Linked DNA regions of Saccharomyces cerevisiae S288C. The main gene of each other region encodes a partner of the protein of the gene in region 2 in a complex. Each region holds a gene or a part of one and is shown on either strand. Other genes may lie near its edges. A codon is read from its position in the direction of its gene.

Region 1 (6,003 bases), on a different chromosome or scaffold from region 2:
TGGCTCATTTCAACAGGGAAAATATTCCTCAAAGGAATCCACATGCTCATGGTTCTGGTGCCTTCGGCTATTTTGAAGTAACCGATGACATTACTGATATCTGCGGGTCTGCTATGTTTAGTAAAATTGGGAAAAGAACGAAATGTCTAACAAGATTTTCGACTGTGGGTGGTGATAAAGGTAGTGCCGACACGGTTCGTGATCCAAGGGGGTTTGCCACCAAATTCTACACTGAAGAAGGTAATTTAGATTGGGTCTACAATAATACACCGGTATTCTTTATCAGAGACCCTTCCAAGTTCCCTCACTTTATCCACACACAGAAGAGAAACCCACAAACCAACCTAAGGGATGCTGACATGTTTTGGGATTTCCTCACCACTCCTGAAAATCAGGTGGCCATTCATCAAGTAATGATCCTTTTTTCAGACCGTGGTACCCCTGCCAACTACCGTAGTATGCATGGTTATTCTGGTCATACCTATAAATGGTCCAATAAAAACGGAGATTGGCATTATGTGCAAGTTCATATCAAAACCGATCAAGGAATAAAGAATTTGACCATAGAAGAGGCTACCAAAATTGCGGGATCCAATCCAGATTACTGCCAGCAGGATTTATTTGAGGCTATTCAGAATGGAAACTATCCTTCCTGGACAGTTTATATTCAAACAATGACCGAACGCGATGCCAAAAAATTACCATTTTCAGTCTTTGATTTGACTAAAGTATGGCCTCAGGGGCAATTCCCTTTACGGCGTGTGGGTAAGATTGTTTTGAACGAGAATCCACTGAACTTCTTCGCACAGGTGGAACAAGCTGCCTTCGCCCCCAGTACCACGGTTCCTTACCAAGAAGCAAGCGCTGATCCAGTATTACAGGCCCGTTTGTTTTCATATGCGGATGCTCATAGATACAGGCTAGGTCCTAACTTCCATCAAATACCCGTAAACTGTCCATATGCATCTAAATTTTTCAATCCCGCTATCAGAGATGGACCGATGAATGTTAACGGCAACTTCGGCTCAGAACCTACATATTTGGCCAACGATAAATCGTACACGTATATCCAACAGGACAGACCCATTCAACAACACCAAGAGGTATGGAATGGGCCAGCTATCCCTTATCATTGGGCAACATCCCCAGGTGATGTAGATTTCGTGCAAGCAAGAAATCTCTACCGCGTTTTGGGTAAACAACCTGGACAGCAAAAGAACTTGGCATATAACATCGGCATTCATGTAGAAGGCGCCTGTCCTCAAATACAGCAGCGCGTTTATGATATGTTTGCTCGTGTTGATAAGGGACTATCTGAGGCAATTAAAAAAGTAGCTGAGGCAAAACATGCTTCTGAGCTTTCGAGTAACTCCAAATTTTGAAACGCTCAAGTAACAAATGAGTGGCGTTGTTTCCACGACAATTATTTATGATAGTGTGTATTTTTAACACATTTTATTTATTACAATTTATGTATTTTGTTATGAATTATTTATTTATACGACTAATAGGTGATGCTCATATTCTCGTGTTAGAAAGTTAAAAAAATTATCATTTCACACATAGGAAAGCTCGTCGCGCCGGGGAAAAAGCTGAGGAATCTCTATTATTAGGGGTAAAGTTCAACACATTCAGTATGAGATAAGTGTGTCTTCAAGAGAGATGCAGCACTGAGTAGGGAACCAAGAAACGATGTCTGAATTACTAGATAGCTTTGAGACAGAGTTTGCGAAATTTTATACCGACAGCAATCTGGAAGAGACAAACCTTCAAAAATGTCTTGATCATACTCATGAATTCAAGAGTCAATTAAAGAAGTTGAAAGCGCACTTAAACAAGCATATTCAGGAATCAAAACCAGAAGTCTATAATAAGCTGAGTGATAAGGAGAAACAAAAGTTTAAGAGAAAAAGAGAACTAATTATTGAGAAGCTAAGCAAGTCACAGAGGCAATGGGACCATTCAGTAAAGAAACAAATAAAGTACGTTTCTCAGCAGTCGAATCGCTTCAACAAAAGCACGCTGAACAAATTAAAAGAATTTGATATAGATAGCGTATATGTCAATAAATTACCGAAAGAGACAATGGAAAATGTTAATGAAGCCATCGGTTACCATATTTTGAGGTATAGTATAGACAACATGCCATTAGGAAATAAAAATGAGGCTTTCCAGTATCTAAAAGATGTCTACGGAATTACTAATAAAGAATCTACTGAATTTATTGAGATGGGCCAAATCGTACATGATCTTAAAAAGGGTGACACAGAAAGCTGTCTGAAATGGTGCTCCAATGAAATGGAAAGCTTATCATCTAACCATACGGCTTTATCGTCCCTAAAATTTGATTTATACACTTTGTCAGCAATGCAGATAGTGAAGCATGGAAATCCGGTAGAGTTGTACTACCAAATAACACAGAACGCACCCCTGGATTGCTTTAGACATAGGGAGAAGGAATTAATGCAAAACGTCGTACCATTATTAACTAAATCGCTAATAGGTCAACCTATTGAAGATATTGATTCTAAAGTAAATAAGGAATTAAAAGAATGCACGTCGTTATTTATAAAAGAATATTGTGCTGCAAAACATATTTTCTTTGACTCTCCCTTGTTTTTGATAGTATTGAGTGGTTTAATTTCTTTCCAATTTTTCATCAAATACAAAACCATCAGGGAGTTAGCGCACGTTGACTGGACTACGAAAGATGAGTTGCCATTTGATGTCAAGTTACCAGATTTTCTGACTCATTTCCATCCGATCTTCATCTGTCCCGTCTTAAAGGAGGAAACCACTACAGAAAATCCTCCTTATTCACTGGCATGCCATCACATCATTTCTAAAAAGGCGCTAGACAGATTATCGAAGAACGGAACAATTACTTTCAAGTGCCCATACTGCCCCGTAAATACTTCAATGAGCAGTACAAAAAAGGTTCGTTTTGTTATGCTTTGACTGAAATTTTTGCATAGGTTTTTTTTTTTTTTTTTTATTGGAAGCGATAACAGAACACAGTAGTTTTCTACAGTAAACCACCTTTAGCAACCTGCTCTCGCTGAAAATCTCCATTCATTATCGTTCCTGAGAACGATCCATTTTCTCCAGCCAACCACCCAGGAACTTTATCAATATTTATTAAATTTTTATCGCATAGTTCGTGTAATCCCCCAAAAATATCATTACCATTAAATTTCAATTTTATGGTAATTATTCTACTGTTTATTTCGTTTTTTAAAGTGAATCCAACTTTTTCAATAGGAACTAAGGAACTGTATCTAGAAATGTACACTGGCTCACCAGAATCTTCATTTTTCTTTCCATTCCTAATATTGTGGACATGTTCGTTAAATTCTTTCAAATCATTATATTTCTGATCCATTACGCCGTTTGCTGAACCTTTGAATTTGATCATGTTTTTCTCTAACCTTAGTCGTCTAATTTCAGGTTCTTCTTTTCCGTAAAAATTCTCATCGTCATTTAAGAAAGAATCATCAAATTCTCTAACCATTACCTTTTTACCAGTAAGGCCTTGGTGCTTTTTGTAGTCGTGTAGTGGTGACCGTTCAAAGTTAGCACTAGCATAACATTCCCATGGGCCCATAGACTCCGCAAATCTCGAAGGTCCTAATAAAGTCATTATATTATGTATTGATTTCACGGGTATTTTCTGTACCGGTTTGAAGATGATTGTTTCTCTTTCTGATATCGTTCGACTAATGCTCTGCAAAACTAGTCTAGCATAAATATCCTTGTCAACTGAATGGAAAATTATTGGAGAATTTAGCGGGAATGCAACGTAATATGGTCTCCTTGATATTAATGGTTTCCCTTGGAATTTGTCTAACTTGTTGTAAAGAGACTCTTTATTTATACTCCCTATATTAGGCGTACTCAAAAATAAATTATTGCTGTCAAATAGCTGTATTCTGGTAATTAACACTGGCAAAGAGGGATGTTTAAACATGTAAACATGACAATGGTAAATTTTCGCTAGATCTGTTTGTAAATTTTCTATAAATTTGGCAGGTTGGAGCTTTACTACGTAAGGTTTCCCATCTCCCCGTAAAGCTTTTGATGGAAGCCACTTAAATTTCTCTGGTTTACTTATCATTAAATGGCAATCTATTTCTGCTAATTGGAAAACATTCAGGCCATCCGGCCAGTATACGTATAATATCCTATTTACTATAACATTTCGCCTCACGCCTTTCTCAATCAGTAAGTCTAATGTTTCTGTCAATAAATATATGTCACCATCAAATGACCCACCGAATTTTGCGAACCATGATAGCGTAAGATCATATAATACCGTTACCGGCAGCTTCATCAATTGTTTGAAAACTACTAGTGTGTCGGAAGTTGGTACATAGTTATCTTCAAGCCGTAATTCGTTAGACATTAATTGCTACTCAAATATACTAGTCAAAGATAGTATCCACCAAAATCTTTCCCCGCTAAAATAACGCCAGATGCTTTCTATGCTTCTAATCTTTTACCATTTACCTTTGTTTATTTCAATATAAACTTTAATTTACAGTCCCTATCTATTGCCCGACTGGACTAACATGCACGTGACATTTTGTGATGGTTTTTCGTCCCTTACTTAGTACGCTTAGTACGCCACAGTTTATATTTTCTTGACAATAATAAAGAACCTGATTGTGGGTTAGAACTTGCTATACTTTTAGTTTAAAATAAGCAGGAAATAATCTTGAGTTCTGTATCATTATTATAAATAAAACTATATTTGTTCTCTTTGTCGCCCTCGGAACTTTCCTCATTACATTGACGAGGTATATATAGATATAGTAGATATACATATCTATCCATGGTATATATGTATGCATCTGGATAATTGAATAGGGTTTCATGTCATATGCCAAGAATTTGTTAATAATATAGTGGAAAAAAGTCAAGAGGTATTATAAATTTCAAAAAAGTACCAAATGGAGGATCAGGATGCTGCATTTATCAAACAGGCTACAGAAGCAATAGTGGATGTATCATTAAATATAGATAACATAGATCCTATAATAAAAGAGTTATTAGAAAGGGTAAGGAATAGGCAAAACAGGTTACAAAATAAAAAACCAGCACTCATACCGGCAGAAAATGGTGTTGATATAAATAGTCAAGGCGGTAACATAAAGGTTAAAAAGGAAAACGCATTACCAAAACCACCGAAGTCCAGCAAAAGCAAACCCCAAGATCGTAGAAATAGTACTGGTGAAAAAAGATTTAAATGTGCGAAATGTTCGTTGGAATTTTCAAGATCATCAGATTTGAGAAGGCACGAAAAGACACACTTCGCCATATTGCCTAACATTTGTCCTCAATGTGGCAAAGGTTTTGCAAGGAAAGATGCATTGAAAAGACATTATGATACACTGACATGTAGGAGAAACAGGACTAAATTACTAACTGCGGGTGGTGAGGGTATCAATGAATTACTGAAAAAAGTCAAGCAATCCAACATCGTTCATCGTCAAGATAACAACCACAATGGTAGCAGTAATGGCTGAAAGAGTAAATAGCGTGTATCTTCTCAAATAAGAAAATATATATTCATCTGCAACATTAATGTGATAGCATTTCCACTTCGACATTCGCCACTAGCTATAACGTTTACTGGCAATTATTATGAACTATGTCAGCTATTCATCACTTGTTGTTTTGTCTCGCTGCATCTGTCGCCCAGCTGGTCGAGCACCGTCTGTTCATTTTCTAGGTTATGAGCCAAACCTGTCAAATACTCAAGTTCTTGGCTACCTAATTGAGAGGCTACGCTCGGATACAGCCCATTAAGTGTATTCTCTTTCGGTTGGCCATGAATCATTGTGAGATTGCATTGAGGGGCAATCTGTACAACTGCACTGTTAAAATGTAAAACCTTGCCATTCTTTTTGAAAAAATTTGCTTCGGCAACGTTTTCAATGGTCATTGGATGCAGTTTATGAAGTTCAGCTTGTAACTTGGTATTATCCTTGTCATTGTTATTAT
Region 2 (8,353 bases):
CACAATTGCTTTTTTGAGAAGCCAAAGAGCTGATTGGTGAGGTTGAAGGTGTCCCCACACCTTCACTTTCGATTCTTCTCCTTTTATTTGGTAAGGCCCACGTCGACGTATCGAATTTGTGTTTTCTTGTATCCGAGGAATAATTTTCACGTAGACCATATGGTACGTCACTGCTCCTACTTCCAGAACTTCTGCTCTCAACGTCGCTGTTACCACTTGCTTCTACTTCAGAACCATCAAAATTGCGAGGTTCGTTTTTCACAAATGTGTGCCATAAGTACTTACCTGAGTTCCAAAGAGTTTCTCTTATGCCTCCTATAAAACCAGCTTTACTAGCTCTATCTGACCCATCTTTCATTGATTCTTCCATTGATAAAACACGGCGGTCGTTTAAATAATTGAATCTTGACGTATTGGTTCTTTTTTTATAAATACCACTAAAACTGGCTGATCTTCTAGACTCGGAGGGATTGTTCAATACCCGAGGATAACACCTATATGTAGAAATTGGGGAGAATAAAGGGGAGTAAGGGTTCTTTTTATGATACTGTAGTGTGTTCCGGTGCTTATCTACTTCAACTGACATTATTATGATATCCAAAGGTCAGAGGAAGAAGAGGAAAAAAACTGAAACAGAAGTAGATATTGATGAATAATTTTAATTAGCAATATAGATTTGCGGAGCTGAAACGAACGTTTCAGCTATTTTTTGATCTGGGTTTAACTATCACACACATCTTCTCATTATGTGCATTTTGAATTTTGAAAATAAAAAGAGGCGGCGCCGGCACCTGCTGAAAGCTGTTTAATATGATTTAATACGGAAGAGCAAATATGTATAAATAGAGAACAATTAATTAATTATGATAGTAACTGGTACTTGTGTAATATATGTGTATATAAAAAATATACATGTTCTTATTCCCCAACCAAATTGAAGATAAAATCTTGAATTGGTTTTAGTGTACGGGGTAACGAAGGCTGGGAGGAAACGTTTACTAATCCTCTTTCCCTCCTAGCGGCCTCTTTAAAAGCCACACTAAAGTTAACAACCAAGGTAACGATTAATACAACTGCAACCAAAATAGGTCCCACAGGTGCATCCAAATGCTTACCACTTCTACCTTTAATAAGAGTTAATCTTTTTAAGTAGGTTCTATAAGCCCATACTCCGCAAAACAAAGTCAAAAAGAAATATACATAGGCCAACAGATCAGCTAGTTGTGGAAATTCGGCTTTTTGCACTGAATTATAGATAGAAAAGGTCAATACACTCAGCAATGTGGTTACACTTAACCATCTATTGAATGTACGTTCATTGGCGAGCCAAACTTTTGCCTCAACTTTGACAGGACCGGCATTTTTCAAAAGGTGAACTGGTTTTTTAACTCCCGGAGGTAATTGGAAAGAAGAGGCACTGTCTGTATCGTCGGAGTATGGATCATTTCCATTTTCTGAAATATTTTTTCCAGCAAGAATTTTCAAGAAAGCTGCATTCGTTTTGAATTTCTTCCCTTTTTTGACTGCAGATTTCTTGGGCAATGCAGTACCTTCTTCATCTGATGATTCGTGATCTTCTAAATCTGCAATAACGTGGCGAGTATTCTGATCTTTTTGCCCTTGTCTTTCAGTGGTCTTTCCATCTGGTACAGAGATTTTGGATAACCTTCTCATATTATCAAGTTTATCATGAATGCTCTTTTGTTTTTGTAAAGTTTTCTTCTCTTCTTCGTAAGCCTCCTGAGGGTTCTTTCTGATGTCGGTTTCTAAATCGGGCAACCAGAATGGCAAAATGTTGACATATTTATCGTCTTCACCAAACAGTGAAGCCACACCTTGCAAGTACAAAGAAAATTTTGGAACTTCGTTAACTAAATGTGAATTAGTTAAATCTTTAATCCACTCATAATTAGGCATTTGAGAATTATCTTGGTTTATAACCTTAATCTCCATTACAGAATAGGGGAACTTCGAATATTCTCCTGCTCTTAAAAACCTCAATGGGTTGGGAATATTGGAATCAATATCGTCACGGTGCCAATTCTCAGGGTTCCTAATGGGCCTATTTTTGTCCAAAGAATCCTCTCTAATGTACATGATATTGGAATCGATAGTGACTCTAATACTTTGATCTCCAGGAATTTGGAAAGCAGTTCTATTATAGGTAGCTCTCAAAACTGGCTGCAACTTCTCCTCAACAATAAAGTTTTGGATGTTATCAAAGTCTCTAGAAAGTTTTTCCAGTTCCTCCTTTTGAGTACCCCTTTCTCTTAGTTGATTAATTAAATAGTTTTTGTAACTGGGATCATTTTTAAAAATAAAATTGTTGATGAATTTGGCTTTCATTTGCAATCTGATTTCTTCAAAACTTGAATTACCAGTTTCGGTATTTTCTGTAAAAGTTCTCTTTTCCAAAAATATGTCAGGTTTGTCTAGCAGTTTACCGATCCATCTTAATCTCAGCGTAGGTGCACCGCTGATTTTCAACAATCTGTTATTGTACAAATCAAAAAAATCGTTGTCGAAATATAATGTAGTGATTGTTGGATCATATGACTGTGGGAAAATAACGCTCTTTGATTTTCCAATTTCAACATCTTGGTTGCTATTACCATCACTAGAAAGGCTGTTACTCTTTGAACCAATATTCAAGCGCGCTTCAGGTTGTACGCGGACATCTGATTCTAGATTATCGACGAAATCGTCATTTTCATTTGGAACCGACGCATAAACCAAAGCAGGTAGATGCCTTAAGATTCTAGCCTTAACCTCCATTATATTATCATCATGAACCCAAAACTTGTAGCTTTTAAAACTTGCGTCTTCAAGGTTAGAAAAATGTGATAATTTAGAAGTACTTGCTAATGATTTAGACACCGTATTTGGATGATCATAATTTGATCTCAAGAACTCGTACAGATATGAGATCCTATACAACAAGGGAGAATACTCTTCTGAATTGTTGAAAGGAAGTTCTTTCAATCTGACTTGTAAAAGAGACTTTACAGAAGGATAGTTTGGATGTAATTTATCGTGTTTCTTCACAATCTTGATAAACCCAGTAAAATTTAACCTGTCAAAGTTATCCAATCTTTGAGCCTCATCTAGACATTCTTCTAAGGTGTTTTTGAACTGCTCAGAATTTATTTTTTGGATTTTTTCAGCTGATTTAGTGTTTTCCTCTAAATCATCTAATTTTCGCAAGACAGCATTATATTTGGAAATTTGAAATGTGTAAACCTTTTCTAGTTCTTTATCCAAGGCCTCCACAAAATCAGATTCATTCCTTTCGGACCAACTATCCACGGAACTACGGCCATCATGTATGACGCTTTCCTTTAGTAATTTCTTCAACCTTTCATAGTCGATATATGAATCCTTCCAGGGAGGATATACGTCGTTAGCCAGTTTAATACCAAATAGCATTTTCAAACTCTGAAAACCAAGGACAAATTCTGCTGTTCGCTCTAATAGCCAAATGACCTATAGTGATAATAAAAAAAGCGCTAAGGAGGTACTACTTGGATTAGATCACTCTTATGCGTATTATTACCCGCCAATGGGCCCTCTCGATATTGAGAAGATGAAGTAAGTTCGAGAAAAGATGTCTGATGTAAGCCGCTCTCTGGCCTCTATTTAAAAGTTCTTCCTGGATGAAACCCACTCGAAAGTTGGGTGTGTGCGTGTGTGTATGTTTCCACGTTTCTGCCTTGTGCTTTCAAAATCGCATGCACGTGCTTGCGACTGCACTGTGTTGTATTAAGCCACGTGGGCCCTCGCACATTGAAAAAAAGAAAAGCTGTACAGGGAAAAATGTGCCAAGAAGTCCAAATACCAATAGCTGTGCAAGTTACTCATTAACATCCAAACCGTGAAGGTCACGGCATATATACTCTGGCGTTCTACTATGTGGCCGGTAATGTAACCGGTAATGGTGACTATCTAATAGTTGGAGTCCGCCGAAAAATCAGAAACGCGTAATTTAGACTTATATAAACAGCTATATACCTTGGAGCTAGTGTGATCTTGTTGATACTAGGTCGGCAAAGAACGCAAATATGGATTTTACGTCTGATACGACGAATTCGCACGACACATCGAATTCGCATTTAAGTCTGGAAGACGCTGTGGGTACACATCATGCTGGTGAAGCAGATGTAAACATTGATGGGGACGAGAAGCAACAACTATCGCTATTAGATGATGATCAGGTACGCGCACTGAAGCTACAGGAGGAGAAGGATGCGCTGTTGACAAGGAGAAATACTCTTTTACAAGAGATCCAGACGTACCAAAATATCTTGATGAAGGAAAATAACAGTAAGACTAAAAATGGTGATATCCTCCAAAACGATATCACACAGGATTTTCTTAATCTAATCTCGATCTCATCCTCTAATCCTAATTCGGCGATAAGTGACCGCAAGCGGGTCGAGAGGATCAATGGGCTAACTAACTTGCAGAAGGAACTAGTAACAAAATACGACACGTTACCTTTGTTAAATATGAATCTACGGCTAAGTTATTTGAGAGACCACACATACCCGCATCTTCAAGTTTCTGTGCAATCAAGAGACAGAGTACATAACGATGGGATTGAAGTTTTGGTGGTCAATTATAAATTCTGCAGAAACACGATGAATCCTTTTGAAATTCAGTTCAAAATGTTCTATAAATTTGAAGATTCCACACTGCTGAAGTGGGAAATCTTGCGAATTTCCACAAACGTTAGACTGAAGGCCAAGCAATTACTGGCAACACGTAACTTCCAGAAGTGTCTATTAAGCCTTTATGAGTTTGATAAGATCAAGTCCAAAAAAACTGGAATTTTCCAAAATTTGATTAATTTATTGAAAAGGAAAACCAGGTGTTATCTAATGAATAATAGTGACTCATTAATTGTGGAAAGAGTTATTAGAGAAGGAAGACTCACGACGATAAAATTGCAGATAAATTTCATCATTACAATGCCCGGTGAGAGAGGCAAACCTCGTAACTGTTTTCTGCCCATGAGTAAAATTTCAATAGCGCTATGGAAGGGGGGAGAAAGATTTAACCAGATAGATTTGGACGAGATATGCTACGGACTTATCAAGGAATATGGTGTGAAAACCGGGTTAAAGGAGATCTGCAACGTTTGCCTATTCCCGGACATGTACGCCAGGTGATGTTCCATTTGCCATTGCCAACTGGACGGCTTGCTTAAACGATTCCGATAAGCTCGGATGAGGGAACGGTACTTTACAGACATCATGGGCGGTAAGGCCAAGCGACACCGCCATCGATGCTTGCGACAGCAATTCATTTGCATCGTCGTTTATCATATGAACGCCTAGTATTTTCATGTCACGAGAATCTATCAGAACTTTAATGAAAGGAGAAACTGTAGTATTCTCTTCCCGTGGTAATAACGTGTTATATCTAACGTTCTGTGAGAACAAAACCCTGCCTTTTTGATATGGGATGCGAGCCTTTGCCAACCCCTCCTCAGTGTATCCGACCCAGCCAATCTGAGGCTGACAGTACAGCACATTTGGTGGGAAGCCACAATTCGAGGTTCCGTCGGAGCCTGTACAGCCTATTGATTGAATGGCCCTTATAGCTTGTTCTTCCGCTTTCAGCGCCAGCATGGGGCCCAATGTAACGTCTCCTATGGGTTTAATATGAGGGTACTTTAGCAGACTTTGGGTTTGTACGTCAACATTTTCTACAAAATCCCGTTCGTCTAGACCAATGCTGGAAATATCTAAACCTTTTAGCAGGGGACGTCTACCAATAGAAACCATCAAGACGTCGCAATGATGTACATATGTTTTCTTTGACACCTTGTTAAGCAAGGTGATGTTCAGCTGACCGGCAGCATCGGCTTCCGCGAGCTGCACTCTAGTGTCTAAAAGAAAAGCTATACCCTGACACTGCAAGAGGGTCTTCGTGGCAGAAGCCAACTCATTGTCCATATTTTGACAGATCTCGCTTTGAGATTCAACGATAGTAACCCGAGAGCCCAAATTATTGAATATGCATGCGATTTCTAGTCCAATTGTACCTCCTCCCATGATAGTAAAACGTGAAGGTATATAATCCAGTGACAATGCCTTATCAGATGAAATTATCTTGTCATTATCTATTGCAACACCAGGACACTGAATAACCGCAGATCCGGTCGCCACAACAATATATTTCGCCTCTACGATGAACGGTTTCATGCCGCGCTGCGCAATCTCAACGTGGTGAGGATCTTTGAAAGCAGCCGTGCCTTTATACACAGTAACATTATTTTTAGATAGCTCACGTTTATACACATTGCCCAACTCTTCTATATTATGTTTGAGTGCACTCTGGGCCGCCTGCATATCGAATTTTGCAGGAAACAGCCGCGTGCCACGTTGCTCGATAAGTTCTTGCTGTTGTAGCAGCCGATAAAGATAAGACTCATATAACAAGGTCTTGGACGGGACTGCCCCGTCTACAAGGTAGGCGCCCCCCAGCGAGGCACGCTGGTCAACACATGCTGTGAGCAGGCCTGCTTGCGAAGCCTGCATCGCTGCAGTAAAGCCACCAGGCCCGCAACCAATTACCAGGACATCGTAAACTGCCGCAAAATCCTCCATCGTGCTTAATATTTCGTCTTCACCTCCCATTACCAAAAATGCTCACCGTTAATTATATCATACTTCTCTTCTCCTCTCGTAAAATCGTGCGCATGTTAAATAGCCGCCGAAACAGCAGATGCATGCCTGCAGGTCTGGGTGTACCCCCTGCCTGAGTGTTCCACCCAGGCCTCGCCGGAGGAAAATGCCACCGCACTCAAGTTCGCACAGAAACTACCGCATAAATTTATTCTAACCCGGAACTGACGTTTATCGTGATATGAACTTTGGGTATCTCCGATTACGAAACGACGCCACCCCTCCTTCCCCAAAGCACCGAGAAAAGATTTTTTTTAAAACTGAACGCTGATTGACTTTACGTATTATTACCACTATGCATTATTGTTGTTTCTGTTGTGGTTGTTGCCAGTTGTAATCATATTCACATTGCGTTTTAGTCATAACCACCTTCCGGTATTCATCATTCGTATTGAATAACAATATTTATACCGCAAAACACTATACGGCAAGGCAACTGATTACACTTTGTTTACCTTATTTTTTTATTATTTATTTTTCTAGAAAGTATTGTTGTGTGGCTCTATCCTTATTACACCATCTCTGCTTTGGCATTTCGCGTTGTTTCCTCTCACGGATTGCAGATTATTGTTCACCAGGTAATAATCACTGACTGGCGGCTATTTTCCTATTACACTCATTATTCTTAAAATTTTCTTTTTCTATCTCTATTTTCTTTCTTTTCGTGTCTTATAATAATAATAATAATAATAATAATAAAAATAGTAATAATAAAAATAGTAATAAATAAAGATGGATTTCTTTAATTTGAATAATAATAATAATAATAATAATACTACTACTACTACTACTACTACCAATAACAATAATACTAATAATAATAATACTAATAATAATAATAATCCTGCTAATAATACCAATAACAACAATAGCACAGGCCATAGTAGTAATACTAATAACAATACTAATAACAACAATACGAATACCGGAGCCAGTGGTGTAGACGATTTTCAGAATTTTTTCGACCCAAAACCTTTTGACCAGAATTTGGATTCCAACAATAACAACAGTAATAGTAATAACAATGATAACAATAACAGTAACACGGTAGCCTCCAGCACGAACTTTACTTCTCCAACAGCAGTCGTTAATAATGCCGCTCCTGCTAATGTTACCGGTGGAAAAGCTGCTAATTTCATTCAGAACCAGTCTCCCCAATTCAATTCTCCATATGACTCAAACAATTCCAACACAAATTTAAACAGCCTGTCTCCTCAGGCTATTTTAGCCAAGAATTCAATCATTGATTCTTCCAATTTACCTCTTCAAGCTCAACAACAGCTATATGGCGGTAACAATAATAATAATAGCACCGGAATTGCGAACGATAATGTAATAACACCCCATTTTATCACCAATGTTCAATCCATCAGTCAAAATTCCTCATCTTCTACTCCGAACACAAACTCTAACTCTACTCCGAATGCAAATCAACAATTTTTGCCATTCAATAACAGTGCTTCCAATAATGGTAATTTGACGTCTAACCAGCTTATTTCTAATTACGCTGCTTCAAATTCAATGGACAGATCATCCTCTGCAAGCAATGAATTTGTTCCGAACACAAGTGACAACAACAACAACAGTAATAACCATAATATGCGTAATAACAGCAATAATAAAACGAGCAATAACAATAATGTCACTGCCGTGCCTGCTGCAAC

Evidence for each region. Proteins that work in one complex are often made in the same cells at the same time.
Region 1: the proteins of CTF19 (region 2) and CHL4 are in contact, whole or in part, in a cryo-EM structure (PDB 6QLE), measured with the Saccharomyces cerevisiae proteins. Residues at the interface, in NP_015307.1 of Saccharomyces cerevisiae: Arg124 (codon at 4,428), Val125 (codon at 4,431), Glu126 (codon at 4,434), Arg127 (codon at 4,437), Ile128 (codon at 4,440), Asn129 (codon at 4,443), Gly130 (codon at 4,446), Leu138 (codon at 4,470), Val139 (codon at 4,473), Thr140 (codon at 4,476), Lys141 (codon at 4,479), Tyr142 (codon at 4,482), Asp143 (codon at 4,485), Thr144 (codon at 4,488), Leu145 (codon at 4,491), Pro146 (codon at 4,494), Leu148 (codon at 4,500), Arg153 (codon at 4,515), Arg172 (codon at 4,572), Arg174 (codon at 4,578), Tyr205 (codon at 4,671), Phe207 (codon at 4,677), Ser210 (codon at 4,686), Thr211 (codon at 4,689), Leu212 (codon at 4,692); in NP_010540.3 of Saccharomyces cerevisiae: Pro269 (codon at 3,598), Trp270 (codon at 3,595), Cys272 (codon at 3,589), Tyr273 (codon at 3,586), Phe278 (codon at 3,571), Glu279 (codon at 3,568), Ser281 (codon at 3,562), Leu283 (codon at 3,556), His284 (codon at 3,553), Asp285 (codon at 3,550), Tyr286 (codon at 3,547), Gln290 (codon at 3,535), Gly291 (codon at 3,532), Leu292 (codon at 3,529), Thr293 (codon at 3,526), Gly294 (codon at 3,523), Lys295 (codon at 3,520), Lys296 (codon at 3,517), Val297 (codon at 3,514), Met298 (codon at 3,511), Val299 (codon at 3,508), Arg300 (codon at 3,505), Phe302 (codon at 3,499), Ile321 (codon at 3,442), Leu324 (codon at 3,433), Lys328 (codon at 3,421), Ile331 (codon at 3,412).

The regions. Positions count from the first base shown.
Region 1 is NC_001136.10:963,512-969,514, reverse strand, and holds CHL4 (Chl4p), read right to left. Parts: upstream 4,403-6,003; coding exon 3,026-4,402; downstream 1-3,025. Other genes in the region: CTA1 (catalase A), read left to right, coding at 1-1,382; ubiquitin-protein ligase RMD5, read left to right, coding at 1,693-2,958; MET32 (Met32p), read left to right, coding at 4,950-5,525; CCR4-NOT core subunit BTT1, read right to left, coding at 5,654-6,003. UniProt on the Saccharomyces cerevisiae protein: Component of the kinetochore, a multiprotein complex that assembles on centromeric DNA and attaches chromosomes to spindle microtubules, mediating chromosome segregation and sister chromatid segregation during meiosis and mitosis.
Region 2 is NC_001148.4:513,593-521,945, forward strand, and holds CTF19 (Ctf19p), read left to right. Parts: upstream 1-4,058; coding exon 4,059-5,168; downstream 5,169-8,353. Other genes in the region: SUMO protease ULP1, read right to left, coding at 1-586; VTC3 (vacuolar transporter chaperone), read right to left, coding at 919-3,426; IRC15 (Irc15p), read right to left, coding at 5,142-6,641; SWI1 (Swi1p), read left to right, coding at 7,422-8,353. UniProt on the Saccharomyces cerevisiae protein: Component of the kinetochore, a multiprotein complex that assembles on centromeric DNA and attaches chromosomes to spindle microtubules, mediating chromosome segregation and sister chromatid segregation during meiosis and mitosis.